Linked DNA regions of Mus musculus: regions 2, 3, 4, 5, 6 and 7 are each reported to be linked to region 1. The links are microRNA targets in miRTarBase. Many come from high-throughput screens and were not tested one by one. Region 1 holds a microRNA gene; each other region holds the end of a gene's coding sequence.
The links. The annotated mature microRNA mmu-miR-467f reads AUAUACACACACACACCUACA and lies in region 1 at 978-998, opposite strand. An mRNA with a match to its seed (bases 2 to 7 or 8) in the 3' UTR can be bound and repressed. Matches are read on the target gene's strand: a 7mer-m8 pairs with bases 2 to 8, a 7mer-A1 pairs with bases 2 to 7 and ends in A, and an 8mer does both.

Region 2: miRTarBase lists Azi2 as a target of mmu-miR-467f. Seed matches in the 3' UTR shown: 7mer-A1 at 2,649-2,655.
Region 3: the mRNA of Pias1 is a reported target of mmu-miR-467f. Seed matches in the 3' UTR shown: 7mer-A1 at 2,975-2,981 and 7mer-m8 at 3,109-3,115.
Region 4: miRTarBase lists Bcas1 as a target of mmu-miR-467f. Seed matches in the 3' UTR shown: 7mer-m8 at 1,076-1,082.
Region 5: miRTarBase lists Uggt1 as a target of mmu-miR-467f. Seed matches in the 3' UTR shown: 7mer-m8 at 1,181-1,187.
Region 6: the mRNA of Aldh1l1 is a reported target of mmu-miR-467f. The part of its 3' UTR that is shown has no 7-base or 8-base seed match.
Region 7: the mRNA of Fhod1 is a reported target of mmu-miR-467f. Seed matches in the 3' UTR shown: 7mer-m8 at 1,359-1,365.

What each region holds. Positions count from the first base shown.
Region 1 is chr11:69,634,442-69,637,441 of GRCm38, forward strand. Mir467f (microRNA 467f) reads right to left here and starts at 1,078; the gene lies at 959-1,078. All of the region lies in intron 1 of Fxr2 (fragile X mental retardation, autosomal homolog 2), which reads left to right.
Region 2 is chr9:118,061,904-118,064,903 of GRCm38, reverse strand. It overlaps Azi2 (5-azacytidine induced gene 2), which reads right to left. Exons shown (of 8, transcript NM_013727.4): 8 at 1-3,000. The coding sequence ends at 2,778. It overlaps Cmc1 (COX assembly mitochondrial protein 1), which reads left to right. Exons shown (of 4, transcript NM_026442.3): 4 at 1-382. Among named protein-coding and RNA genes, the nearest start is that of Gm51660, 10 kb to the left of the region's middle.
Region 3 is chr9:62,879,024-62,883,324 of GRCm38, reverse strand. It overlaps Pias1 (protein inhibitor of activated STAT 1), which reads left to right. Exons shown (of 14, transcript NM_019663.3): 14 at 1,064-3,248. The coding sequence ends at 1,357. Among named protein-coding and RNA genes, the nearest start is that of Calml4, 23 kb to the right of the region's middle.
Region 4 is chr2:170,344,786-170,349,086 of GRCm38, reverse strand. Bcas1 (breast carcinoma amplified sequence 1) reads left to right here. Exons shown (of 13, transcript NM_029815.2): 13 at 939-2,096. The coding sequence ends at 1,013. Among named protein-coding and RNA genes, the nearest start is that of Gm39999, 9.4 kb to the right of the region's middle.
Region 5 is chr1:36,141,046-36,145,346 of GRCm38, forward strand. It overlaps Uggt1 (UDP-glucose glycoprotein glucosyltransferase 1), which reads right to left. Exons shown (of 41, transcript NM_198899.2): 41 at 1-3,206. The coding sequence ends at 3,181. It overlaps Mir6897 (microRNA 6897), which reads right to left and starts at 3,268; the gene lies at 3,207-3,268.
Region 6 is chr6:90,597,854-90,602,154 of GRCm38, reverse strand. Aldh1l1 (aldehyde dehydrogenase 1 family, member L1) reads right to left here. Exons shown (of 23, transcript NM_027406.2): 22 at 3,770-3,969; 23 at 2,984-3,268. The coding sequence ends at 3,213. Gm15756 (predicted gene 15756) reads left to right here and starts at 2,215. Exons shown (of 2, transcript NR_157234.1): 1 at 2,215-2,538.
Region 7 is chr8:105,326,295-105,330,595 of GRCm38, reverse strand. Fhod1 (formin homology 2 domain containing 1) reads left to right here. Exons shown (of 22, transcript NM_177699.4): 18 at 19-209; 19 at 309-501; 20 at 587-749; 21 at 827-1,027; 22 at 1,117-1,436. The coding sequence ends at 1,199. Tmem208 (transmembrane protein 208) reads right to left here and starts at 4,219. Exons shown (of 6, transcript NM_025486.3): 1 at 4,122-4,219; 2 at 3,450-3,545; 3 at 2,367-2,426; 4 at 2,138-2,274; 5 at 1,904-1,988; 6 at 1,539-1,824. The coding sequence starts at 4,127. The coding sequence ends at 1,687. It also overlaps a transcript of Lrrc29 not described here.

The DNA.
Region 1 (3,000 bases):
ACCCCATCTTCTGTATCTGTCCTGAGTCTATTCTGGATCCCACGCCCCAGATATTTTCTTCTTCTGATCAGTGGGGTTCTGAACATCTTTTGACTTTTATGAGTGGAATTGTCCCGGACACGTTTGGTCCCTCTCTTACTCTTCATCCTGGAGAGAAAGAGGAATTTCCATAGCATGAGATGGGTGAGAAGAGCCCCTTTTTCTTCAGGTTTCCTCAGGTTGTCTGTCCCCCTACCCTAGTAGAACTTCTACTTTCTTATGCCCTTGGAAATAACTTTCTCTGACTCTACTATGAAATTGTATCTTTTTTGTAGCTGAAAAAAGACTTAGGTTTGCCCTACCCCTGTAGATGGTTCCTACCCTCACTTCAACTGATATGCTAGTTATCCATTATAAAGGCCAGGCCATTTTTTTCCCTTTTCTGATCAAGTTCTTTACCCAGTGCCTATGGGTGCACATACCTATTAGCTTTAATGCAGCTTCTCAACTAAGTCTCGGTCTTTTTAGCTTGGTATTTCTGTATTCCTGTGTATCCTTGATGATGTCTACCTGTCTAGTCTGTGTATAGCTGAAGAAGGCTCCTAGCTGATTCTGTCACTTTCCTAACTCTTGGTACTTTTTCTTCAGACCAGAACAGTGTCTCTAACATTTCTGTTTTCTGTAGCAAAAGTCTTTAATTCTTTTGGCTTCTGAGAGGACACATTAATGTTTTAATATCTATTTCACCCACATTTGTATTACCTTTGTTAAAACAGTCTCCTCAGGCTGGGTATGGTGGTACATACTCTAACCCTAGTACTTAGAAGGCTAAAGTAGGATTGTTGAAGTTCAAAACCAGCATGGGGAATGGAATCCAGTCTAAAACAACCCAAACAAACCCAAAAAGTACTCTTTATTATGCTCTCTTTTCCTCGATATGTTAGTCTTCATCTGTATCCTTCTAACATCAAAATGTTAAAAATTCCAAAAAAGCTGTGTGTAGGTGTGTGTGTGTATATACATACATACACACACACACACCTACACACACACCCACCCCCGTTCGATTTCTGGGTACAGGATTTCTCTATGTAGCCGTGGCTGCCCTGAACTCAAACTCTGTGGGATAGGTCTGCCTTTGTTGAGTGCTGGGATTAAAAGCATCCACAACTACTCTTAGTTTGAAAAGTGGTTCTTAAATTGAGTATGAGATCAAGATAAGATATTTGCATTTGGTTTAAGGAAGCTCAGGAGCCATGCACAGCTGGGACAGATGAGTGCTCAGTTCCAATTAACTGTATGACATGGTTGGGCTGGGACATGAATTCTGTTACACATATGGGTATCCAACAGAAAGTCTCTCTTTTATCCTTTTATTCTGTGGGCCAGAGCAGTGATAGATTTGAGGGAAGCAGGGACAGGATTCTTTGATAGTATAGAGTTAATAAAAGCCAAATATTGAGTGTAGATTTTGTATTCTGGCCACTTCAGCACTTTCTGCTCCATGACTGAGTTAAAGACATTGCCTAAGTGTAATGTAGATACTTACCTATTCAAACCTTGCTGATTAATATTTATGACTCAGCAAACTTTGGTGTGAGTAAGGGATACTAACTTTTTAGATCTTTTACGTTTGGGGAGATTCTTTTCTCCTCTCACAAAACTGTTTTACTGTGATTTTTCTAGAGCCAGTAAATATCAGATCTGAGGTCTAAGTTATTTTAGAATTATCCTATCAAACTTGGCTTTTCTGTCAGGATGTGATGTGTTTTGTTAAGGTGGTTTCAGGTGGCTTGGGCTTTTAACCCGGGATGACCTTGGACTCCTGGTTTACTGTGGCCTTTCCTAAGACCTGGGATTACAGGTGCACACCATCAACCCCAGCTTCATAATGTGTTTTGTTTTGTTTTTGTTTGTTTTTTGAAACAAGGTTTTTCTGTGTAGCCCTGGCTGTCCTGTAACTCATTCTGTAGACCAGGCTAGCCTCAAACTCAGAAACCCGCCTGCCTCTGTCTTTTGTTGTTTTTTTTTGGGGTGGGGGGCAGGATATCCTGTGTTGCCCTGGAACTCACTCTGTAGGCTAGGCTGGCCTTGGAAGGTTTAGGCCACCACCAACCTGTTAAGATGGGGTCTTATTGTATAGCCTTGCTTTGTTGATAAGGCTAACCTTGAACTTGAGGTCTCATCTTAGCCTTCCACTGAAGTACATCCTCAGCCAGGTAGCCCTCCTCCGATCTCTTCCTTCTTTCTTCCTTTCCCTTTCCCTTCCTCCCTTCTTTCATTTTTAAAAACATTTCTCCCCATATAGAGACAGGATTTTTATACTTTGATAGCTCAGGTTACTCTGAAACTTAGCACGTAGCCTAAGCTGACCTCCAATTCTTAGACCCTCCTGCCTCAGGCTCCCCCCAAACAGCCAAAGCAGGTCGTATCTGAAGCAATATTCAGGGTTAGATGTTCTCATTATAAGGAAAGAATAGTTTTGTAAGTGGTGACTGGCCAGGTCTGTGAGGTGGGAACTCTGTATTCTCTAGAATATTATTGGTACATTTTCTCCTAAGCTCTGCCACTATCCTAGTTACTGTACTTAGGGCTGGTCCTTGAATATTGTTAGCCTTTTTTTTGAAGCATCTGGCTTTCTTACTGCTTTTGATGTTGAGGATTGAAATCAGGGCTTTATACTTGCTAGGCACACATCACACGGAACTATATTCTAGCCAAACCCCCCTTATCTAATCTATCTAGTGTTTTTTTTTTTTTTTTTTTTTTTTTCTTCCAGAATAGGGTTTCTCTGTAGCCCTGGCTGTCCTGGAACTCACTCTGTAGACCATGCTGGCTTGGTTAGAGATCTGCCTGCCTCTGCGTGTTGGGATTAAAAAAACCACCACCTGGCAGCTATTATTTTTCCTTTCTTCCTTCCTTCTTATCTATCTTCCTTCCTTCTCTATCTCTGTCTATCTGGCAACTTATTATTTCTTTCTATCCATCCACCTATCTATGAGACACTGTCTATATATTTCT
Region 2 (3,000 bases), not on the chromosome of region 1:
ATGGAGCGCCTTCAACACTGCTAACGGCAGCAGTGAACCAGAGCCTTCTTCACTCTACCCCTTAGTGTGCCAGCCACTGTGGCCAGCAGTCTCTTACGGCGATAACTTAGCCAGCACTGCCATCAGAGGCTTATGTGAAAACAGATGAGATTTGGTGAATTATTTTACTGAAACCTTTGACAGAAAAGTTTCTGCATTGTTTCTTGATCTTTTGAACTTGGCTACTGAAAATACTGTATAATCTTGGATTTTAAGAAGTTGGCATTGTTAGTGTGAACTTCTGTTTTGTGATATTGGGGGTTTGGGAGGAACTGTGGTAAGTTTCTCTTTTAGTGTGTTACCCTAGTCTGAGCTTTTTATATTAAAAACTATTTTAAAAAAACCAGGAAGGCAAGATTTAACTTTGGCTCCAATCCTATGAAAAAAATTTCTCATTCAAATGAAATGAACCTAGTCAATGAATGCATGTTCAAGCTTCACAGTGTACTCACCAAAGAACTACTTTACTTTTGTTTGAAACTCAAAGAACCCATTCTCCCAAAGCACAGATCAACAGAAGGTGACTGGAGGCCAAGCAGAGCAAACTCAGGAAGATACTGCAGCACGGGGAAAGGCCAAGCAGCCCATTATCTCTGCGCTGGCCTTGTTGGCACTGGCACATTTCTATTGGACAGGGCTACAGTTGTTTTCAGTGACTCAAAGAAAAGGTACAGTTACTACAAGAAGCCAGTGACATAGTAACAAGATTTCTGTTGTGTGTCTCGAAACCAGTAGGTACTAGATAAACTGTGTTCCCATTCACCGCTTGCCTGACTAGTGTACCTGCTGCAGATGTGTCTTTGGATCCCCGGTTTTTACAGGTTCATGGGGCAGTTCTATTTTGGCGTTGGCTCAATACAATAAAGGACCAAGAGGAAGGAGCATGTGGCTACTGTCGGTTGTGTCCTAATATTAATGAGTTACAGGTGAGCTTAATTAGATTTAGGGAAGCTTGTTGGGGTTGTCAGCTAGTATGAAAAGGACCAACGGGACTGTCAATTTTAATGAATCACAAAATACAGCTGTTACCATTGACTAAGTATATATTTAAACATTTTCTGACCAGGTAAGAATATTTTAGGGTTTCTCTTTTCTAGCTAAGGAGTCTTACACAAGCTTTTAACACTTTGACTGTTAACACCCATCAGACTGTTCTAGCAATCCTTTTTGATAACGGTTACTACTAGTTAGAGGGGATTCCCTCCATTCAGAGTATGTTGGAGAAATAAAATTAATACCAGACTTTGGAAATATACATAGGCAAGGACAGTATTTCACATCCAATTCCATTTTAAAAACAAAAATAATTTTAATTAAAACAATTTCTTGGCATTGTTCAAAAACATTATAAGACTCTCTTTACAAAAGAAAACTTCTCATCTTGGTTTGAAAAAAAGCAAACCATTAAGCTACATCAGTCCTAAGATGATGGACAGCCTCCGCAGTCACACGAGAACTGCGTTTGCTTTCTTATTACACAGTCAGTTAGTGCCTTCAGCTAGAGCCTGGGCTTGTGTATTTGTTTTATGCATATTGGGTCTTGTTGTATTACTTGGCAGGAGCCTGTACTCCCTCGAGTCAGCTGTGTTCATTGGTCAGAACACATTCCAGTATCTGACATCAATTCCATTAATCACGGACAGGCATGAGTAAGTGACTGAGATAACTCAACAGTGAACAGTGCCTGGCTATGCATTCTATTCAGTGATACAAGGTCAGAGATCCTCTGAATTCAAGATACATGAAATGGCACTTAGAAAAGGATAAAGTCTTCTTACATCAAACAGGTAATACATGATTACTAATACTCTTAATGCTTCCACCTTGAAAAAATTTAGATGAATTTCCACATGAAGCCATCTTTGTTATTTCTTTACTTATTTACAAGTGATTGGGCACTTAGAATGAGTTGGGATATTTCACAATTGTACAGCACAAGATTTAGTTCTAGATGCAGCTAATTAGCATTTACTTTCTCAAATGTCATATCTAACAGTGTGTAAGCTGCTCTGTGTAAAACAAATAGCTGTCCTGCTGAAAATGACCACACGGGAGGTTCACTACACATCACTGAAGAGACTGCCCTGTGAGATGCTCTTTCTTCTTTTAACTGGACATTGTATAAGGTTATAATAGTTTATTCACATACCACATCATTTTTAACTATTTAGGATTTAAATATACTGGGAAAAAGTTGGCTTCAATAGTCATTAATTCAAGTCTTAGAATTCAAATTGCACTTTAAATTTGTATATACAAACATTTTACTTAAAAATGATTTTAAATCTTAAAACTTGAAACAATAGCATAGAGATGTCATAACCTACTTTTATTCCATTATATTTCAAATCTTTATGTATCAGGAATTTACAGAAGCTCAACCTACTCTTACTTGCTTCTTGATACAATCTAAACCAGCAGACATGTTTTTTCTTTTATACTAAAGGCTGCTTTTTATTTAATGATTGGATATTTAGGCAGGTCACATACTTTATAAAACCATGCCTAAAATTTTCATTTCCACTCTATCCAAGAAGCAAAAATGTATAATTGTTATCAAAGGTACAACTGGAGGTTCCCATACTGGAAAATCAATTACATATATAATGTTATACAGAATGTACAAATGTACATACTGGAGAACTGCACAAGCCATCAATCAAAGTCCACTTTCAGTTTGAACAATCTCTTGGGAGAACCCCTGAGTCCGTGTCTTCCTGATCAAATCACAAGTGAAATTAACTTTTGTAAAGGCAGTTCTGATTCTGTTGATCCAGGTAATGCAGTGGCGGCAGGTTGGATAAAGGTAAGATTTTGCTTTTATTTTCACCAAATGCTGTCTCACTTGATTTAGGAGGGCTTGGGAATACCCAGGAATTATCTTCCAGAGAATTTCTCCCATAGGAGCTGTGCTCTGGAAAGTCTGCACCGTCATTAGGAACCAATCTCTCGTTATCTGTC
Region 3 (4,301 bases), not on the chromosome of region 1:
TGTAACCCCTGCCTGACCTGTGTAGACCTGAGGGAGGGTGTGTGTGATGAATTTGTCTTTTTAGAAAAATACATAACTATATCTCCTATATAGATAGGAAGAAAGGAATTTTTTGCATAGCCATATGGTGTATTCATGTTTTAAGTGTTTAATTATAAAGAATTAAGTAGTCAGAAGCCTAAGATTTGTAGGCAGTTAATGGTTAATGGGGGAGACATTTTCTTCAGTGATATAGCCAGTGGTAAGTTGTCTGTGCTCTGTAAGCAACACTGACATTTGAAGTGGACTGTTGGAAAAGGAAGGAGACCAGCTAGGGGAAGAAAGAGCAAGAGAAAGTAGTAGAAGTGGTTATGGTTAAAAGACATATACACGTGAAAATGTTAGAACTCATTGTGTTTAATTTGTATGTTATGAATGTTTTAAAACAAAGTAAAATTAAAGAAAGATAGCTTTGGGATTTTTTTTTTTTAATAAATATAGAATGGTCTAAGCACAGAGTGCTGGTAAAGCCCACATAGTGCACAGATCTGTCCTCAGCCTTCACAGCCACTCCGCAGTGCTCCCTGACCCGGAGAGACTTGCAGCTCCGCACACCCGACTCAGAGTGCCCCACGCAGGTGGGACATTGCTTGGTTTTTACAGCAAGTTCTTCCTGCGCTTCCCAGCTCAGAGATGTTCATGTGCGCAAACCCTTTGCCCAGCACCTACAGTGCTGAGAGCAGAAGCAGGCTGCACCGAGCTGCAGCCCAGCCTGGGAGCAGCTGAGCAGCTGTGAGACAGTTCTCAAGCTGAACTTGCCATTGGAAATGTGGGATGTATCCTTCCTACTGCTTCTGAACACCTCAGAAACAGAGGGCTAAGAACTGCATGCAATACAAACTACATGCACACACAATCAAAAATGTCATTCCAGTCTCAGATACCATGCCAAAGCGCTCTCAGTAATAGTGACCAGTCGTTTACTACAGAATGTGTTGTCACTTGAGGAGCCTTGTTCTGCTGAGAAGAGTACGCCGAGGTGCATCTGATTGTAACAGAGTGTTTTGTCTCTGGTCCCTCCTAGCATTACAACACCTCCCTGCTAGCCGCAGCTGCAGCGGCGGTCTCAGATGACCAGGACCTCCTGCACTCCTCCCGGTTTTTCCCGTATACCTCCTCGCAGATGTTTCTCGACCAGCTAAGTGCAGGAGGGAGCACATCTCTGCCAGCCACCAACGGAAGCAGTAGCGGCAGCAACAGCAGCCTTGTGTCTTCCAACAGTCTGAGAGAGAGCCATGGCCATGGTGTGGCCAGCAGGAGCAGCGCAGACACAGCGTCCATCTTTGGCATCATACCAGACATTATCTCATTGGACTGACGCTCTCACCCTGCTGCTCCCACCCCATCCCAGATTAAATGACTTGGCAGAAGAGAACTCTATGCTCTGTTTTACCTTATCCTGTTTAGAAAAGTATACAAGCGTGGTTTTTTTTTTCCTTTTTTTTAGGGAAAAAAAAATTAAAAGAAATGTACAGAGAACAAAACTATATTTTCAGTTTTACTTTTGTATATAAATCTAAGACTGCCTGTCTGATAAAACACTTGTTTAAAAAAAAAAAAAAGAAAAAAGAAAAAGAAAAAACAAGCACCCACAAACCTTCAGTTCATTTTTTCTGGATTCTGAAGACTTCACCATTTGTCCTGTGGTTTGGGTTTTATTTTACTTCAATGGCATTATCTTTCTTGCAATAACGGAAACAATTGCATGTATGAGGTTTAAATTGTGGGCTTTGTTGTGGGGATGGGTTTGGGATAGCTTTGATTTCCATTTTTTAAAAGTGACAGACTTGGATTCTGTTTGTGTGTGCGTAGATTTTACCAGCCTTAAGTTATGAGCCTCGTCTATCTTACTGCATACCCTTTGTTTTCAAGACAGAGCTTGTGTGCGTGAGTGCGTGCGCGCGTGCGCGCAAGAGCGCCTGTGTACCTGTATGTGCTGTTCTGTCGTCACTCGCCCCTCCTCCTCAGTTTGCATTTGGTTATTATCACTCTTGTGTGAGCATCTTTCTCAACTCTCCCTAGGTGCATGTTCTCCATCCCAGATCCTCTGTGATCTGCTGTCTACCCTCTACGAGTGTGTTTCCCAGAAGTGCTGGAGCAAACGCTGCTTGGATGCGCAGTCTGTGGGCAGGCCCTCGAATGACAATACACTTCTGTTGATTCTAAGTCTGAATTGCCAGTATTCTGTATGTAATCCAAGGCTGTGAGCACTTGCATTTTGGCAACAGGGTAACAAGTTTTCCTTGAGGATCTTCATACCAAAATGGGATGTGAAAGAACCCCCGTAGCCCCGTGGGGTGTGGAGCTGGCAGAGGTCGTTCCGTTCCACCGAAAGAAAAGAAGGAAGGAAGGAAGGAAAGAAAGAATCGGTTATCCTAAAGTTAACAGTACAGCACAGCCCACATGTGGATCCATACCAAATCTATCTGATAAATAGTTGAAACTCAAAAATAACCTTAGTTATTTTGGTTTTCTGTCTCCGAGTATACTTCCTTTCTTAGCCGTGTTCTTTTTTCCTTCACCTTTAGTGAAAGCATGACATAGGAAGCCTTTTTTTTTTTAAATTCAAGAACCAATTGGTCTCACCTACTCTCAATAGCAGAATATGTAAATATATTAAAATTTGTTTCAGGAGGTGATTAAGGGTCAAAGGAAGGAAAAAATACTTCTCATACTTGAGAGTCCGCAGAGAAGAAAGCATGCTCTGACAGTGGGAGATAGATGGCAACTGATGGAGGATGCAGGTGTAACTGCAGAGAGCCAGGGCACACCATCACCAGCTCCTGCACTGGCTTTTATGTCCCACCTTCATGTTTTCAGAGTTGTGGAAGGACCATCTTTGTGTGTGGTAAACTTGTTTTCAAGCCTTGCATCCATAACAGAAGGACCGGTAGGTATTAATCCAGGTAGAAGTCATGATGACTGTGTCTTCAGTTGTATAATAAAGGAAGTGGTTCACATGACAGCGTGGCATCTAAAAATAATATCTATTTTATAGTCTCTCTGCTACTAAAATGTCGACTTGAATTTTTGAAAAAAGTTGGTGTTGATATGTATATGTGTGTGTGTGTGTATATATATATGTATTTATAAACAAGTGCGTGTGAGTAACATCATCGTCTTCCCCTACGCATGTGTGTTCCACACAGAAACGGCTGTGTTAGAGTCACAAAACAATTCGCAATAAAACAAGACATTTGTTATCAGTTAAAACCAGAAATAGTTATGTTTTTAAATTCATCTGGTGTTATGAATACAGGTTCTACCATCTCTCATTACTGTATTAATTTAGACTCACTTCAGATAACCATAATTTGTCTAAATTGGGATTATAGTGGAAATCACTGAAATTTTGAGGTGTTTCTATTAACATAGCAATAGGAAACATTATTTTAACTGAGGTAAAATGAATAGTTTTCTTTGTTCTTGGTTTTGTTTGGGTGTTTTTGGTTTGGTTTGGTCTGGTTTTGGTTACTGTTAGTAGTTTTAGGATACTGATGCATAGTTTTTTGTGTCTGATGCTGAATTACAAACTTAAAATAATCCAGTTTAAACCAGCTCTCTGCATTCTTCATGCCAGCTATAGAGGGGTCACTTTCCTTCGGTGTCCTGCCTTGTACCAGCCTAAGGGGAGAGCCGGTAACTGGAGGAATAGATGCCCTGTGGCTTTGGTCATGTCCCCACGGGAGAACAAGCCGTTTGGTTGTCTGTATGTTTTAGTTCCTTCCATTTACTGAGGAGTTCACTTCTTCAGTGTTGACGTTCTAAAATGTTGCATGTGGTCAAGTTCAGTCAGAGACTTTCACAACCCTGAATAATTATTAGAGCCACACACCACTTTATCTCCTGCATTAAAAGAAAAAGCGCATGGTCACTTTGTCCCGTTGTTGTCGTTTTTCCTTAGGCCGACCTCACTCCCCAGCCCTGCCAACCTTGATTAATAGGCTGTGGACAGATAATGTTCTCAGCATCTTTGATTCAGCAAGCTGCCAGGAGCTCCTTCCTTAGTCTCTCCCTCTGGCATGTGTTCTCTACAGTATCGTGTGTGTGCTCCCGTCTTTCTGTAAGCACACACCATCAATAAAGTAGCCATTCAGCCAGGAGGGTAGAGGTGGCTTTTAATTTACCATGTGGGCATTACTGGACACATTTTTTTAAATATGAAACTTAACCATGCATACTTTGTTGAGTATTGAAGTTGTTCCACTGCTAATTTAGATGTTACACATCTACATTACTGACTTCAAGAATCACTAAAGGTT
Region 4 (4,301 bases), not on the chromosome of region 1:
ACAAATGACTCTCCAGCATCTGCTGGGTACCAGGCACTGTTCTAGGCACAGAGAGCAGCAGACACACAGGCTGTCCTGGAGCCCAAGGATAGAGGCAGGAAGGATGAAGATGCCAGGTGTGGGGGACAGGATGATCTAAATAGTAGCAGGGACAGCGTGGAGGAGAGCAAGACCAAACACCTATGCTGCCAAGCCACTCCACTGCAGTTCTGCTCTGGCTGCCTCCTAGCTCTGTGTCCTTGGCTGAGTCACTCAACCCAACCCCTTCGTGCCTCAGTTTCCCCCGTTGTCAAATTGAGGTCATGGTAACAGCTGCAATTCTGTTGCAGTTTGCTTTCTATTGCTGTGATAAACACCATGACCAACAGCAACCCGTGGGGGAAAGGGTGAGACAGTAGTGGTGCAAGACTGCACGCATCCACCTGCCACACTGGGACAGTAGTGAGGTGCAACCTCCACATGCCGGGGCACTCGAATGGTCCCGAGGAGGCAGCAGACTGAACCCACAGAGGAGGAGGATGTCAGGTCAAACAGAGTAAGGTCACTTCAGATAGTGCTGGGGAACAAATCAGGGCACCATTTTGTTAGAACCTGAAAGAATGAGCTATTGACAGTGGCTAGGGATGTAGAATGAACTAGAATAGCAAGTCCCACCCTGGCCTCTGACCCCTGACCCCCGACCCCAGGACTGCTCTAATATGTGTCACACTTTGAGCACACTTTATCTGGGAGCACCTCTCAGAGTTGGGTTTGAGCACTCCCATTTTAAAATCAAATCATAATGTGTCTAGGATTTCACAAACCCAGGAAGCAACGTCGCTAGGTATTAAAGCTAGACATCCGCCCATGAGCACTGTCATATTTACGTAGAATAAGCACGTGATAAGTCCCCCTCGCTGCTGTTGGCCTCACGCTGGCTGCTTTATGTTTTTCTCCAGGGACCAAAGCGGATGTCGGATGCTCAGGTGCAAACGGACCCGGTCTCCATCGGACCAGTTGGAAAATCCAAGTAAACAAAATCACCCAGTTCCCACTGGGTTCTCCTCCCACTCCATCTACTGTCCAGACCCACACTGTGTATATATTTTTCTTCTTCTTCTTCTGGTCAGCCAATGAAATTCTGCCTACAACTTCAACCTGAATTGTTGTAGATCGAGGTGTATTATTTACGTCTCTGGTCCAGTCTTTCCTGGCATTTAAGTGTAAAAATGGCTTAGCAGGTTGACCAGTTGATCCAAGGGAGCTGGTGAGTGCCAGGTGGGGGAGGAAGTAGGTAGATAAAGGCATTTGTGTTAAGTTATGAAAAAATGGCAGGTATCCAGTAAGATGCAGAAGAAAAGTGCTTATGAGACAAAGAATATCTGGATTTGTAGCCACTCTTGCCACATCCTCTAAGCCTGAAGAGGGGAAGGGAAGACTGGTTTATTTCATTTCACACTTGGGGGAAGGAGGACTCAGGGCAGGCATCTACGCTGGGCGTCTGCCAACTTTTGGAACAGGATGTGTGGGCTGTAAAGAAGAATGGGCAAGAATTGGTTTTCAAATAGGGTCCTTGGAAGTTATCAGTGAATGGGGAAGTGATTTGCTGGAGAGGGCTTGCTAGGATTTGGGGAAACAATTACTTCTGGGGCACAGGGACAAGGGCATGAATTCCCAACTTCAAAAGGGAAACAGCAAAATGAAATAAAGGTGCAGGTTCATTTTGCAACACAAGGGGGCGCCAGGATCTCTGCTTTTTCCCTTTGCATCCGGTACCCCTAACAAAGATTTGTTTCTGCACTATTTCATTATTAATGTTTCTCAGATGGCTGAGGGACTTGCTTCATCTGTTCGGTCTGACGCTTATCTCACGCCTGTCTGTAATGTCCTAATGTTTTCATAATGTGCTCTGATAAAAACCCTCCCCTAACCCAGTTAATAAAAATTGACAGATTATGCGAATACTTGAGGTGGTTTTTTTTTTTTAATTCTTGTACAGAGAACTGAATTGGACTGTGAATCCATTAAGATGGAATTGCCAAGTACCATATGATTGACTGATAGTCATCTGTATTGTACCTTTCTTTTCCCAATTTAATAAAAAAATATTACATTTTAGAAAAGCTTTTGATTCTAAACTTCAAGTGCAGCTCGCTGACAACGCTCTCTACAAGGGCTGCGTCTTTGTAAGCAGCTGGAAGACAGTGTACACTATGAATGCCCACACACGTGTCCAGATATACTCTCACACACGACTCTGTGTTCGTGAACATTCATACTGCAAACTCATATAGGCAGGAATACATTGGTGTGCACATATGATCAGTTCACAGCCTCTGCCCTAGCAAACCAGGTTTGACCTCCAGTCTTTCATAAGCCAATTAAAAGAGCCAAATTAATATTAAAAAACAGATTCTTCCATGTGGCCACACTGGGAAGAGGGAGAAAGATTCAAGAGTCTCTCCTGCCTCCCACAGGCTGCCTTCAAGGTCCTTCAAGTCGAAAACAGGACTGCATAGCCAAGCAGTTCAGCCCAGGGGCGGTTCCCTGCTCACCTCTACCTCAGCTCCAAGTCTCTCCTAGGAGCAGTGATGCTCTCTCCAGTAAACTCCTCCTCCAGCCCTCTCCTCCCTCCCTCTCCATCCCCCACCCCCACCCCAGGGCTTCAGCCTTTTCCTTCTCCTCCTGGGGTCTCCTGGGGAAATTTTAACTTTCTGAGATTGGTTGTTTCCATAGTCTATAGTCAAAGAGGATCGCGGGTGTCCCTTTAGAATATATTCATTCTTGCCAGACTAGCAAATTTGCACACACACACACACACACACACACTGGCAGGTTTTACACACACATGCACGCTCATGCACACACACACACACACACACACACACACACACGCACGCAGAACATGAGACTGTCTCACAGGGGTCAGAAATAAACATTGCCATCTATCTTGTCCTAGCGTGAATGAGAGCACAGGAACCACACCTAGGACAGAACAGACTGGAAAACTGGTAAATGTATCCAGAGAGCAGCCATGTCTGTGAGGCCCCCAGATATGGAGGAAGTAAGGCAGTGTGGCCTGGGGCCTGGGGCCTGCCAGCACACTGACTGGATTCTGGGTTTCAAATACAGATCAGCAGTGGTTTCCTTTAAGCTAAACTTGTTTCCTGGATCCTCAGGACCTGATTTGGAAATCACTGTCTGTTCCTTGCCGGGTTCAGAGTCCCGTACCATGCTAGAAGGTTTTGCTGGAAAGATTGGGGTAGGGTGCTAAAAGCACCTTGGGAAAACTGGAAGAGGGGGAGAAGTGGCCACACTACCCAGTCCTTCTGAGTTGACACCAATGAGACCAGCCAGCTGTCAGTTCCTTTGTCTGCAGATCCCTGGGGGTGACGCCTGCTGTGACCTTTTGCCAGCCTCTGGGCTAGCTCAGCCTGTAGAGGAAGTTGGCCAGTTTCACCTTACAGGGCACCGGCGCCTCAGGCTGAGATGAGAGACATTAACAGGCAGGATTGGGAGGCGCAGAAGCAGTGGGGAGTGACTGACTCTGGCCACCAGGCAATAGCAACCTCCAGTTTCTAAATTGGGATGGGAGAGGGGTTGTCTGAGAGAAGCTCAGCAAAGCCCCTCCCGGGTGTTTATTCCTGGTCCCTCCCTTCTCCTAGGCTGAAGAAGAGGGCACTCTTAATGAAATTGTGGTTTGCTTTTGTTTTTATGAAGGCCAGGAAATTTAAGCCACAAACTCAGTGATTTATTGCTGGGACCGTAAACCCAGCTGTAGTTTAAGAAGCAAGTTTTGTGCTTCCTGTGAAGGTTGCGTTTTCCGTTGCAATCCTTTCTCTGATGCAGAGTTCACTAACTGCCCCAGCAAGGCACTCCCTAAATCGCACAGAAAGTTCACAGGACAAAGAGGGGGCAAGAAACTGAGAGCTCGGCCCACAGAGCCCAACCAAGCTCTGGCAGGTGGAGTGAGGAGTGAGAAGCAAACCTGACAGGCACCGAAACAACCCAGAATCCTAGCCCCAAAGAAAAACCAAGTAAAGACGTGCGTGCGGGAGGAGAGGGACAAAGGTGCCCGTTGTCACCATGAGTCGGTTAATGATTCGCTGATTTGTTTGTAGGTGCTCAGGGAAGTGTCTCCTCTCTCTTGCCAAGAAGACGTGCCTTTCCCAAGGATGGAGCTAGTGAGATGAGATGCCCGGCATTGTGCGTGCAAGTTACACACACACACATGCAAGTGCACACACACACACACACACACACACACACACACACACACGTGCATGCATGTTCTCAGTGATGCCTCCCAGTTCCTGCTGACA
Region 5 (4,301 bases), not on the chromosome of region 1:
GGACAAGAGGAGTTGACTTCATACTGGTGACCAAATCTGACCAGTCCTAAACTATGCCAGTCAAGTTTGTTTCCTGTTTTTTGTTTGTTTGTTTGCTTGTTCTTTTCTTCCTTCTTTAGCACTGGGCTCTCAGCTCATCTTTCAGCAACTCAGACGAGAGCCAGGTAACATACCTGCCATGAAGTCTGCTCCTGACCAGACAGGCCCTGCACGGTGCACACATGCACGCCCCGAGACGACCATGCTCAACCAGAAATGTAGCCTCTGCCCGGGTAACAACGCCAACTATCTTATGAAACCAGCACATTACCACTCTCGACATGGGTGCATCCAGGATACTTCTAACCCAGGACTCTGGAGAGCTGTGCCCCACAGCCCCAGGTCCAGTCAAGGGCCGCTTTTCATGGATTCACATCGGCACAGTCTGACTTGTCACAGGTCACACTACCCTAGTGATTCAGAAAGGAAACACTCTACTGCTATATGACAGGAGGTCAAAGAACCATTTATTCGCAGGCCAAGAATGGCGGTGAGCTCTCCAGGAGCCTCAATAACCTGTCTGCTCAGTCACTTCCTGCTTCTTGGAGAATAGCTCATCTCTCTTTTCAGTCACAACATGCTTTTTCGTAGTGAGAATGTCAGGTGAAATCTGACAGGGACACCCTTCCAGGGCCACTTGCCGGCAGCAGCCCATTTGTGGCAGTGGCTTAGTTTGTAGAGATGATTTAATCCACAGGATGCAAGGAAGGACCAGGAAAGGGGGGGCCTGGACAGCTTTAGAAGGGTTTAGTTTAGGGTCTGGCCTAGCCAGCATCAGCTCTGAATATGACTTATGTCAGTGTAGTGACCCACGAGGGACTAAAGGGCCATAGGAGACCCATGCCTTCCTCTTCCTCAGAGGAGGCACACATAATTTGGTAAGAGAAGGACCCTGGCCACCGGGCCAGCATCTCAGAGCACTGACTATTCCTGCTCAACACTCCAGGCTCCCAGGGCACTGGGAAGACAGCTTCCGCTCACAGTCGGGCGCAGCAGCCCTGAGAGCTTAATCCAGGGTGGACATGAAGCCTGAACAAAGGCTGGCTCTTAAGCTAACTTTTAGATTTGAAAATGGGGGGGGGGGAGATATTACTTGATATATGTGTGGTAATTTTTTTATTTTTTGAAATTCATGTTGTAATATACACTGTATCAATAAATGTCAAGGGCTAGTTAAGCTAAGAAGCTATGGAACATGTTTGTCTCAAACGTATCCTCCATGGCCCTTTGTCTGGGGATGTGTGCCCCTTCCCTGACTTTATGACAAATGACAAAACACTTTGATAATCCAAGAGTCAAAATACATCGCTTGAAACAGCTGGGAAGTAATTTATTCCCAGACACCTTTCCAAGGTCAGAGGGCTCGCTACAGCCTGTCCTTGCTACCCAAGCGCCTGCAGAGGGAGAGGGAGAAAACCCTGCTGACCGACCGATGGTAGCAGCCCCCCAGCTCGTTTCTGGGGTGTCGTGAGCACCGAACTAAATGATGTTGTTTTTAGTGCTGCTCTTTGTTCTCTTATGTGGATTCCTGACCTGAGGGGACACTTGTGCTCTGCCCAGGACTCTCAGTGGGAGCTCCAGCTGACGAGGTAAGGGGGTTAATGCTGGTTCTCTGAATTCCCAATCCAGTTTTCTGTCTCTACTTATTACTTAACAATTGCCCACTCAAATCCCTAACCACGGCTCCTGTAGGCCATTCTTCCATGGTAACACACATATTACCTAGCTTGGACAGGCAAGAACTTAGTTACCCACAGTACTCATTCCTCATATTCAGTCTTTTTTTTTGGGGGGGGGGGGCTGGGGAGATACAGTACCAGACAGAAGGCCTTGGGCTTGCTAGACAAGCACTCTGTCTGCCACTGAGCCACACCCTGTGCCCAGCAACACTAACTCTCTGCTGTAGATCCCTGAGTCCTGGGCAGAGATGACACCACACACCCACACCTGTCCAGCCAGGTTAACAACACGTGGAAGGCTCCTCAGCCCAGGCTGCTCCCGAGGTGATGCTGGGCTGTGGCTGTGAACACAAAGCAGTGAAGGGTGCTGCTTCAGACAGCAGCAGTACCTTAGAACTGGACCAGACCTCGGCAAGTCTCGAAAGCCAAAGGGGACCCTCAGAGCCAAAGCACAAGGGAAAGACAGAGTGTAGGAAACCGAGTTCCAGAGACAGAGTCATTCCTGGTCACAGGTCTGAGAGCATTTGGGGGAAGAAACACCCAAAGTTATCCCCTGGGTCTGAGAGAAAACTCTACAAGGGAAAGGGCAGACAGTATGGTGCATCCAGACGGAGGCTGAGCACGCTGAGAGCGGTCACTGAGGGACTCAGGACGCCTGTGCCCAGCCAGGAAACTGATAACCAACAGCTTTTTAGAAAGTAAGAAGAAAAAGCACACATTTTCATAAATAGAAAAATTGTTTACAAAACAATTACCTGGACAGTTCACTGGGTACTAGACTGAAGAGAACGGCCCATGTTTTTGTCTTCCATCGAACACCCCAACACTCTCCACTACCTGCCATTTCTTCCAGCCTTATCCACACCACCCCGTTTCTCCTGAAGACTGATTTGCTTAGCAACTGCACTGAGCCAACCCTGAAGACACATGATTATTGGTTGGGCTCCATTAAACAACAAGCCTAGTGCTTGGGAAGGGGGGTGGGGAGGGGAAGAGACGTGAGAAGCATGTTGGCGTAGACCTTGAGGCATGGATGAAGCATCTGCCGGCCTGACCTGGTACAGGGTGGGCATCTGCACTGCAGCAAGGGCTGCAGGTAAACTGAGGTAAGGAAGAACATGGTGACCTTTCTGCCCAGCTTCTGGGCCAGCACAGCAGTGTGTGCTCTGGGCTGTGGGCACCGAAGGACTGGGCTTCTTGCAGTTGCTGCCGGCATTTCTCCCTCTGGTGAGAAGAAGAGTCCCAGAAGACCAGCCACTTGTCTTCCTCTGAGGTACAAATCCAACAGAGCCTTAGCCCCAAGGATCTAGCACCCACTAGGGTGCAGTAGTCTAAATCAATGCTCAGATCAATAGGTGTGGTACACCTGCCCAATCCGTTCATCAGCAGTCGTATCGAAAGATCAGAGAAAACAGCAGTTAGTCCAAACTGTCAAGGTGGGTTTCCCATCTTCCTCCAGAGATCATAATTCCTCATGCTTCTGAGAGCCTGGGGGAAGAACACAGACCGTGAGACTTACGTCATAAAACAGCGTGTGACACTGCCCCCAGCACAGCACTGTAGCTTCAGATGGTCTGTAGAAGCTTGGTGTTGGCTATTTCTGTATTAAGGGTTGAAAGCGAACCTAAGAGAAGAAGACATTTTTAGCTCTAAGAACTGACACGCCCTTGGGCTATACACGGCCTCCACCAGGGCAGCGCTGGCTCTCGGGGTCTCCAGCAGGGCAGAGCTGGCTCTGGGCCACACACTGCTGTGTGCAGAAATCTTCTGCACTTACACATTCTTTCTGTGAGCCAGGGCAGCTGTTCTTTGATCCTTAAACTGTTTTAAGGTTGCTGATCGGTACGTAACAGTAAAGTACATCTCTCCGTGTGTATTGCTTTTCCTGGAGTTATCTAAGATGCAGCCTCAGTAGAGGCATTCTTGCACAATGCACTTGCACTTTACCATGACTGTGTGCACATGCTATGGTGTGCATGCGTGCTCACAGCAGCTCTGTGGAGTGAGTTCTCTCCTTTGCTCTGACAAGAGACGTGGGAATGAGGACTCGTGTCATGAAGTAAGCACTTCTCCTGCTGAGCCACCTCTCTGGCCCATTGGTGCAGCATTTTCAAGGCTCCTTGTAAGAGACCTGCTGCTTTTAAAGCAAGGCTTTCCAGACACATGGACAGTTTCGGCAAGGCTCACTCACCAGTCTCACCCCTGCCCCCTAATGCATTGCACTACCACTCCACCTGTATTTTTTTGACATATCAGATATTAATGGTGACTCTAATTTCATCACTGTATCCTTATTCCTCATATATGGCTCTTCTTTTGAATAGTCTGTTCATATTCTTTGTCCATTTATCTATAAGTAATTACATAATGAATTTAACTTCTTAAAACAGTATTTATTTTCATTTTTTTATGTGTATGGGTATTTTGCCCTTATGTCTCTGAATATCACATGCATGCTAAGCACACAGAGGCCAGAAGAGGGCATCAGATCCCCTGGAACTGGAGTTATAGACAGTGTTTTTAAAGCTAAGCCGGCTCTCCTGCTCCAAATCTTTAGTGAGTGTGTGACTATAACCTACTAGC
Region 6 (4,301 bases), not on the chromosome of region 1:
ACACTGGACTGACTTTCAGAGACAACGACTTACAGCACTTGTCAGTGTGGACTCTGCGGTGGCCTCAGCACTGTTGCTGTTCTGTCTGGAGGAGGACGGTGGGAGCCAGGAGCAGCTGATCGGCCTGTGGGGCCACAGTGGGGACAGCTTGCATGTAAGTTCTGCTGCCGTCTGCAGACCTGATTTGCTGCAGTCCTCAGGGACAGCACCCAGGGAGCTTAAAACCCCCTCCTCTCAGGACTGACCTGATGCCTTGAGGAAACTGACCTGATGCTAAAGATAGGTTTAGCTGACTGCACACGAGGAGGAGCTGGCAAGGGGCGGGGGTTATCCCAGGGCAGCTGGGAGAGCCAGAGCACAGGGTCTCCTCACAGGACCCAAATCTTTCTCCTTGGGACCTTGCAAAGGGCCTGAATGATCTCATTGGTGGTGGTGGGGAGGGGGGCGCAGCAGATGTGAAATGAAGAAATGTCAGAACGGAGGCCAAACCTTGTGGCATATTTTAAATGTTACATGGAGCACATGCAAGATACATACAATGCGTAGAATAACAACTGCAGATTACTAACGTGTATGTGCAAACACAGGTGAAGAGGCTAGAACCCAGAGCCCCACACACCAGCATGACTGCTCCCCCACTGAGCTACCCCCCCTTTAGCTGGCTGTGGGCATGTGGTAAAGGGTGCAGACTGTGGGATGTTTCTATTTCCAGCCCAGCTGAACGTGAACCCTGGGCTCACAGACTCAGCTTGCCTTACCTGAGAATGAAAAGCCTGTGTTTAAAGGCAGAAAAATCCCTAAGCTTTACAAGATGAAAAGGTTCTGGAAAAGGAGGGAGGTGGCCGTTGGGAATGACAGAGTGGGGTTTAGTGTTACAGTGCTACATCCTTATCCTGCCTTAAAATGGGCAGTGGAAGTAAACACACATCTTTCCCTTCCACGGGCATCAGGAAGAAAGGCCGGATGTGCACCCTGCCACCCAACACACACACACACACACACACACACACACACACACACACACACACACACACACACACACAGACCAAGAACAAACCTCACAGACACCTGTAAGAAGACCTCTGAGAGGCTGCAGCCTAGGTGCAGGGAGCCCTGGGGAGCAGCCCACTTTACCCTCTATATGGAATAGAGCTTTCATGTAGAGGGCATGGTCTGGATCTCCCATTAGGAACTGGTGTCCTATAGCTGTGGCCTGAAAGTGAAGGCTTCAGAGATATTCCCAGAGACTCAGGACCCGGGTTTCTGTGTCACTTCGCATCAAGGGCTTCAAGGGTCTCTTGGTTTGGGAGGAGAAAAGGAGCTTCGTAGCAGCCGCAGGTCCCTGAGCAAGCTGGCCTCTGTGCTTCAGTGGGCTAGTCCTTCACTGGACTACAGCATGTGCAGTACAAATGTGTGGAGAGGATTTAGAAGCCTGCATGGCACGCAACATTCGACAAGCTATTGTGGTTACCATTGCTACTACCAGTGTTCACATGTGGGAGTCACACAATCTACTGCCCCATGTCATCTTGGTACTGGGATAAGGTCCAAGAGCTTTGCTGTCAGGCAATGTCACTGTGCACGTCACAGCAGAGTAAACTCTCATAATCTAGATGGTCAAGGTCACTCACTGAACATGATCTACTAGGGACATCTTGCACACACACCAGACAGATAAGGTTGCTGCAGGTATAACACTGTAACTGGTTTCAGCACACACACACACACACACACACACACACACACACACTCCACTAATGGACTAGAGAAACGGCTCAGGAGTTAAGAGCTTGCTGCTTTTGTAGGTGACCTGAGTTTGATTCCCACCACCCAAATCTGTCAGCCTTCAACTCCCTGTAACCCTGATTTGATATCTTTTATATCCTCTTCTGATCTCTTCTGGTACCTGCGTGCACGTGCACATAAACACAAACACAGAGACAAAAAAAATAATAAAATAAATATTTTTTAAAAAACCATATACACCGATTATCACTTAGTGGACACATGGCCAGTGACAGTGTCACTGTGACCACCCAGTTTCCTATTCCAACAGCCATGTGGTGGGGTTTACACGGCCCCATCACGTATACAGGATGAAGTGTTTATGTCACATCGCTTGTGACATCATACATCACATCAGTTGTGACGTCATAGGTGGTAGGAATTCTCAGATTTGCTACTCTGGAATCAATATTAGGTATGTGGCTTCTCACTGACGAAAATGTTACTCTGAGGCATGTGCCCCACTTAAGAGAAGGGCAGGGATGCGGAGGAAGTCCGGGATACTACATAGGCCTGAAATCTTTGCGACTGATCCAGGTCACTGCCTGCCTGGCCAGGGGAGTTAGAGAAGAACAGAAAGGCCTTTAAAGAATTTTGGACCAAGAGAGGCAGAGCCAAAGAAAGGTGGTAGTGGTTGGCATGCCAAGAAGAGAATGTTGGGTAAACCAAGGCAATAGCAAATCTGTTGAGATGTGGTATGTGGGACCTCCAGAATGAAGAAGGTACAGAGGAGAGGGCCTTGGGCACCCACGGGTGAGTGCATAGGAGTCAGAAGCCTTGCAGGGGCTGTGCTCCAGGCTGGGGTGGTGTAAGATAAAAAGAAATGCAGATGGTAGAAGATGGGAGTGCTGTCCAGGGAAATGTCAGGCTGGGTGGAGTCCCTGCTGTAGACCCCAGGCTACCATTGTGGCTGTCCAAGTCCACTGAGTGAGAACCCGGGTCCTGGCAGAGGAGACTGGGGTGCTTGATGGCCCAAGGCTCACTCCCCAAGTCTCATTTCCTGTTTCTGGGGCGCACCCTCTTCCACAGCCTCTTGTACCCATTCTGCTTTTGGAGGTGTGTGATGTGCATTTCCTCCTGTGTCCCACTAAGGGGTCTCGTTCTCTGAAGGCCAAGTGATGCTACATGCTCAGGACTCATGGTGACCACTGCCTCTGGTTCCATACGAGGCATCCATAGACAGAGCAGTGACACAAAGTGTAGGCGACCTCTGCTCACAATTTTTATTCATGGGGGACATGACTGCTCACTCCACTTGGAGCCACTTCTGATTGTTCAGAGGGTGTCCTGTCACCAGCAGGGGTCCAGGCCAAGAGCTCCAGCAGCTGAAAGGAGCAGTGCTGGGGACAGGAGGGTGCTAAGTCACCAGACAGGGTCAGCACTCCCTGAGGTCAACAGGGTACAGGAGAAGTATCACAGTCTTGGCTTCAGTACTCAAAAGTCACAGTCTTGATCCGCAGGTACTCATTCAGGGCCGCCTCTCCTGCAAGATAGCACCCACTGTTGGGACACCTTATGGGTGTGCAGGGGACCCCTCCGGGGAACACACCTGTGAGTAGCCTGGCTCTCTACAGATGAGAAACCAAGCCCTGAGGAAATCATGCACCCAACCCAGGCCATCCCTGTAGTAAGCTGTGGGCTCGGGCACCAGTGCAGGCAGGAGAATGATCTGGGGCAACCATTCTAGAATCTTCCCTGCTACATTGATGGTAGAGGAGGTGGTATGGATGCCCTACTGGCTATTGGCAGCCAAGAACTTATCCTCCTGTCCTCCTGTGACTAGAATATGTTATACATACATATCCTTTCCACTGCTGTCTCAGCAAGTACATCAGTCCCAAGAGTGTTCCCTCCCAGCTAGAACTGACCAGCCACCAGCTGTGTTGATCAGTGTGACACCCCAGTATTGGGGACAAGACCTGGCCCTTGGTGGCCTTTGACAGGTGTTTGCTGGAAAGCAGTCCCACAGACAGGGTTTCGTTACCCAGGTCTTTGCCAAATCCAGACTGCTTGAATCCTCCAAAAGGTGCGGCCACATCGGTCTTGTTGTATGTGTTGACAAACACAGTGCCCGCCTGCAGTTTGTCACTGACATACAGGGCCTTGTTGATATCCCGAGTGAAGACACCAGAGGCCAGGCCAAATTCTGTAGCATTGGCCCGAGATAGCACTGCATCCACGTCCCTGTGGGGGAAATCCAAGAACTCCCTGAGAGATGCTCAGAGCGTCCATTTTTGGACTGGAGACAAGGCAAGATCAGAATCTGCCTCCACAATGTTCCTAGCTCCCTTGATTCCCACCCATGAGATTCTAAAGAAAAAAAAACATAAAACAAAACAAAACAAAAACAAAACAAACAAACAAACAAAACCCCCAAAACCAAAAAACTGTGCAGAGGCCAGAGCAAGCCTGGAGGAGAAGAAGCAGGCAGTAGAACAGAAGCCAGAGTGAGAGGCACTTCACAGAGCAGATCTGGGCATGCGCCCTCATGCAGGGACAGAGTCCAGAAAAGCAGC
Region 7 (4,301 bases), not on the chromosome of region 1:
TACCCTCTTGCTTTTCAGGTGGACTTTGAACAGCTGACTGAGAACCTAGGGCAGCTGGAGTGCCGGAGCCAGGCTGCCGAGGACAGCCTCCGGAGCTTGGCTAAGCACGAGCTCTCCCCAGCTCTGCGTGCTCGCCTCACCCACTTCTTGGCCCAGTGTACCCGCCGGGTAGCCATGTTAAGAGTAGTGCATCGCCGAGTCTGCAATAGGTGGGGCCAGGAGCCAGAGGGAGGTAGGACTGCCACCACCATCCCTTAAACACCAGGAAGACTCATGATCCAGTCTCCCACTCCTTCCAACCTGCCTAGGTTCCATGCCTTCCTGCTCTACCTGGGCTACACCCCACAGGCAGCAAGGGATGTACGCATCATGCAGTTCTGCCACACACTGAGAGAGTTTGCCCTTGAGTATCGGACTTGTCGGGAACGGGTACTGCAGCAGCAGCAGAAGCGGGCTACATACCGTGAGCGCAACAAGACCCGTGGTCGCATGATTACCGAGGTGAGTGCCCACCCCCTTGCAGGGCTTGCCTGCCACCTCATGGTTCCTTCCCCTTGCTCTTAACCACCCTTCTTTCCCTGTCTAGACAGAGAAGTTCTCAGGTGTGGCTGGGGAGGCCCCCAATAACCTGTCTGTCCCAGTGGCTGTGGGCAGCGGGCCAGGTCAGGGTGATACTGACAATCATGCCAGCATGAAGAGCCTGCTTACCAGCAGGCCGGAAGATGCCACACACAGCCGACGCAGCAGAGGTAGGGCTCACAGCTGCTGCTAGGGGAATGTGTTCTAAAGCCACCTTTGTCTGATTTCCCTCTGCTCTCTCCCTTAGGTATGGTCCAGAGCAGTTCCCCCGTCTCACACACAGCAGTGGGGCCCTCCGCTGCATCCCCTGAGGAGACTGCAGCCTCCGGCTTACCCACCGACACGTCAGATGAGATAATGGACCTGCTGGTGCAGTCAGTTACCAAGAGCGGTCCTAGAGCCTTAGCTGCTCGGGAGAGGAAGCGCTCTCGTGGCAACCGAAAGTCCTGTGAGCATCCCCTTACTAAGCTGCAAGATGTTCCCCATACCTCCCCTTGCCCCCTCTCCCGCCCCTGTAACCCTGCTCTGTCCCTGCAGTGAGACGGACACTGAAGAGTGGACTTGGAGATGACCTGGTGCAGGCACTGGGACTAAGCAAAGCTCCTGGTCTAGAGGTGTGAGGTGCTACCACGCCTGGACATGACAGCGACATGCACAAGAGATGGAGTGCGGAAAGGGCCTGGAACAGAAACCTGGTTTCAGAAGCTTATACCCAGAAACCAGTATTGTGAACAGTATTAGGTGTGTGTGTGTGTGTGTGTGTGTGTGTGTGTGTGTGTGTGTATACACGTACATGTATTTTGCATGTGTGAGTTCCTTATTTGGAACAAAATAAAGTTTACCTAGCTAATCTATAAGAGCCTTTCTCTTCTTTAAAGATCTCTGCCTTGCTGAGCCAAGACAGGAGCATCCCGAGACTAAAATTCTTTCTGCTTCGTGCATCATCACCCACACGGCCGTTAGCCACATTCGAAACTATTTATTTAGTGATCCTATAATCCAGGCTGCTTTGGCCCTTAAACTAGGCCCTCACTGCTCCAGGCATGGGGCCACGCAGCATAACAGAGCCAACCAGTGCCCAGCAGCCTACAGCCTCAGTTAAGGATGCTATAACCTTTTCATCTGCCGCCGCTCCTGTCGGCGTTGTCGTTTCTCATTGAGCTCTGGTGCAGGGGCTCCACTGTCTGCTGTGAACCAGGGGCCCAGCACGTTTACCCACAAAAGGTAAAGGGCCCGGCCTGGAGCCTAGGAGAGAAAAGACCACGTGAGGCCACTCGCAAAGACTGGTGAGCAGTGGGGAGGCCCAGCACTCCAGCCCACGTACCAGAAGCCAGAAGGACCAGATGTAGAGGGAGAAACAGCTGAGCACCTGAACAATGGCTGTCAGTAGGATCACATCCTTAAGGTGCCTGCGGGATAAAGGGAGGCTGCCAAGGATGGTATGTTGGCCCTAAGGCCTGCCCCTTCCACACTGTTTAGTTGTGAGTCTTGGGCTGTGTGGGCCCCAGCGCCCCAGCCCTGGGGCCGCTCACCTGAGCTGGCGATGGGGGACACTCACTCTGCCATGCCCTGCTCCATGTTGAGGTCCATGCCACCATCCATCAAGGACCCATCCTCAGAGAAGGATGCCCGAGCCATCGAGCTCATAGAGTGGTAGCTGGCCCCGTACACGGCCAAGCTAAAGCCCAGGGCCATCTGTAGGACAAGAGTGAGAATGTCACAGGCTGGCACCACTGACCATTCATGCACGGGCGCGCGCGTGCACACTCCTTTCCCAGGATACTTACCCAGGCCCAGAATGAGGCAGAGGAATAGAAGAAGACCAAGGTTACAAGGCAGTAGATGGCCTGCAAGCACACAAACACGATCAGGTTAGGGCTGAAGGCCAGCCCCCCACCCCGCAAATTATGGGCTTTCCTCAACTCTGACCGAGAACTGGGCCAGACTAGGAGGAAGAAACCTGGTGGTGGAAGACCTCTGCTTTCTGAGTCAGATAGCGCTTAGACTCATATCTGTCCAGGAAGAGTAGCCTTAGTATAACATGTATAAGCTTGGTATGGCCTCAGTATAACAAATCTCAGCTGGGACTTTTTATTTATTTATTGTTGTTTTGCTTTGTTTCCCCTTCATTTCTTCATGTTTTGCTTCTATGTCTAGTTCATATTTCTTCTGTGCCTGGCTACTTTTTTTTTTTAAATGGTTTAAAATTAAAATACATTTTACATGTATGAGTGTTTTTGCCTGCAATGTATCTATGTGCACCATGTGCCTGACGCTGTGCCTGGTACCATAGAGGTCACAAGAGGGCATTGGATCCACTCAATGAGAAGGTTTCGAGCTACCATGTGGTGCCCCTGGAGTGGAACCGAGGTCCTCTGTAAGAGCGACAAGTGCTCTGACCACTCAGTCCCTGGATACTTTGGGGGGAGGAGGGCAGTGTTTGCTGGCGATGCTGGCAGAGCCTAGCCAAGGGCTCCACCACGGCGCTACACCTGCTCTCACTCTCTCGAATGAGACTTCAGTCTTTCTGTGGGGCTCTGGTTACCACTCAACACTCTGACCTCAGTCTTCCAAATAGCTAGAAATACAGTTATATGCCACTATGGCCAGCTTCACTTATTAACCCCATCACCCCTTTTTATTTTTATTTTTAATTTTTTTTTTTGAGATAGGATTTCTTTGTTACTCAAAGCTAACTTCAAACCGCCCATCTTTCTGCCTGAGCCTCCCTGGTGCAGGGATTACAGGCTGGTGTCTGCCTGGCTTCATTTCTTTACAACGTTCTCTTTTGGAGCCTTGGCTGTCATTTGCCAGCGCTCCTAATCAGATAGGAATGAGAGGGCAGAGAAAGCACAAGGCAAGCAACTTACGTTGGCTCCCAGTATGATCCGAAGGTAAAACTTGAGAGTTTCTTTGTTCTCTTCAAATATCTGTTTCTTCCCTCTGGTACCCACTTTTCCTTTGGGCTGCGGAGGGTTGGTGAGATGCTGTCAGAGCTGTTTTGCCTCAGTCCTCCTCACTCCCTGTACCAGCCTGGTTACCTGCAGCTTTATCTACCCCGCAGCCAAGTCCTTAGCGTGCTTTGTCAACCCTAGCAATCCCTGAGATACCGACCACTCCTCTAGTCCATCTTCCTAATATAGTTAGGACACCGACTTTACTGTACCCCCAGTTATGATCGCCTAATGCTCACCCCAAAACAATTCAAATTACGTTAGTATCTTCTTTGGCTTTCCTCGTAAGGTTCAGCTTTGGGTTGAGATCCTCTCCGGGAAAACTCCAGCGGAACTTAATGGCGTCCCTCTGGGGTAGTGGTTTAGATCTGGAACTGGCAACTACCCTCGCCCGCGCCCGCCCTAGCCTCCAACACTAGTCCTGGTGTAGTCCTGCACGGCCACTCTCCCCGCATCCCGTTCGGTCTAGCACAGTCCATTGGGTGGCGCCCCTCTCTGGCCCAGTGCCTTATGCCTTCGAGCCCTTCTGTTTTTACTTTCCCAACATCGGGAAAGCTTTGCCGGTGCAGACCACGCCTTGTCCCTTACCGCCATGGTGCGCAGCAGACACCCAGCCACTGAAACAAGGGCGAGTAACTGGAACTGCAGTCAGTAGACACCACATCGGCAGCACATGCACTTCCGGTAAAGAGCGCAATCGTTCGCTCCTGGGCGGAAGTGGATTTCATTTCCTTCCGAAGCCCCGCCCCCTGAGTCGGTGGGACTACA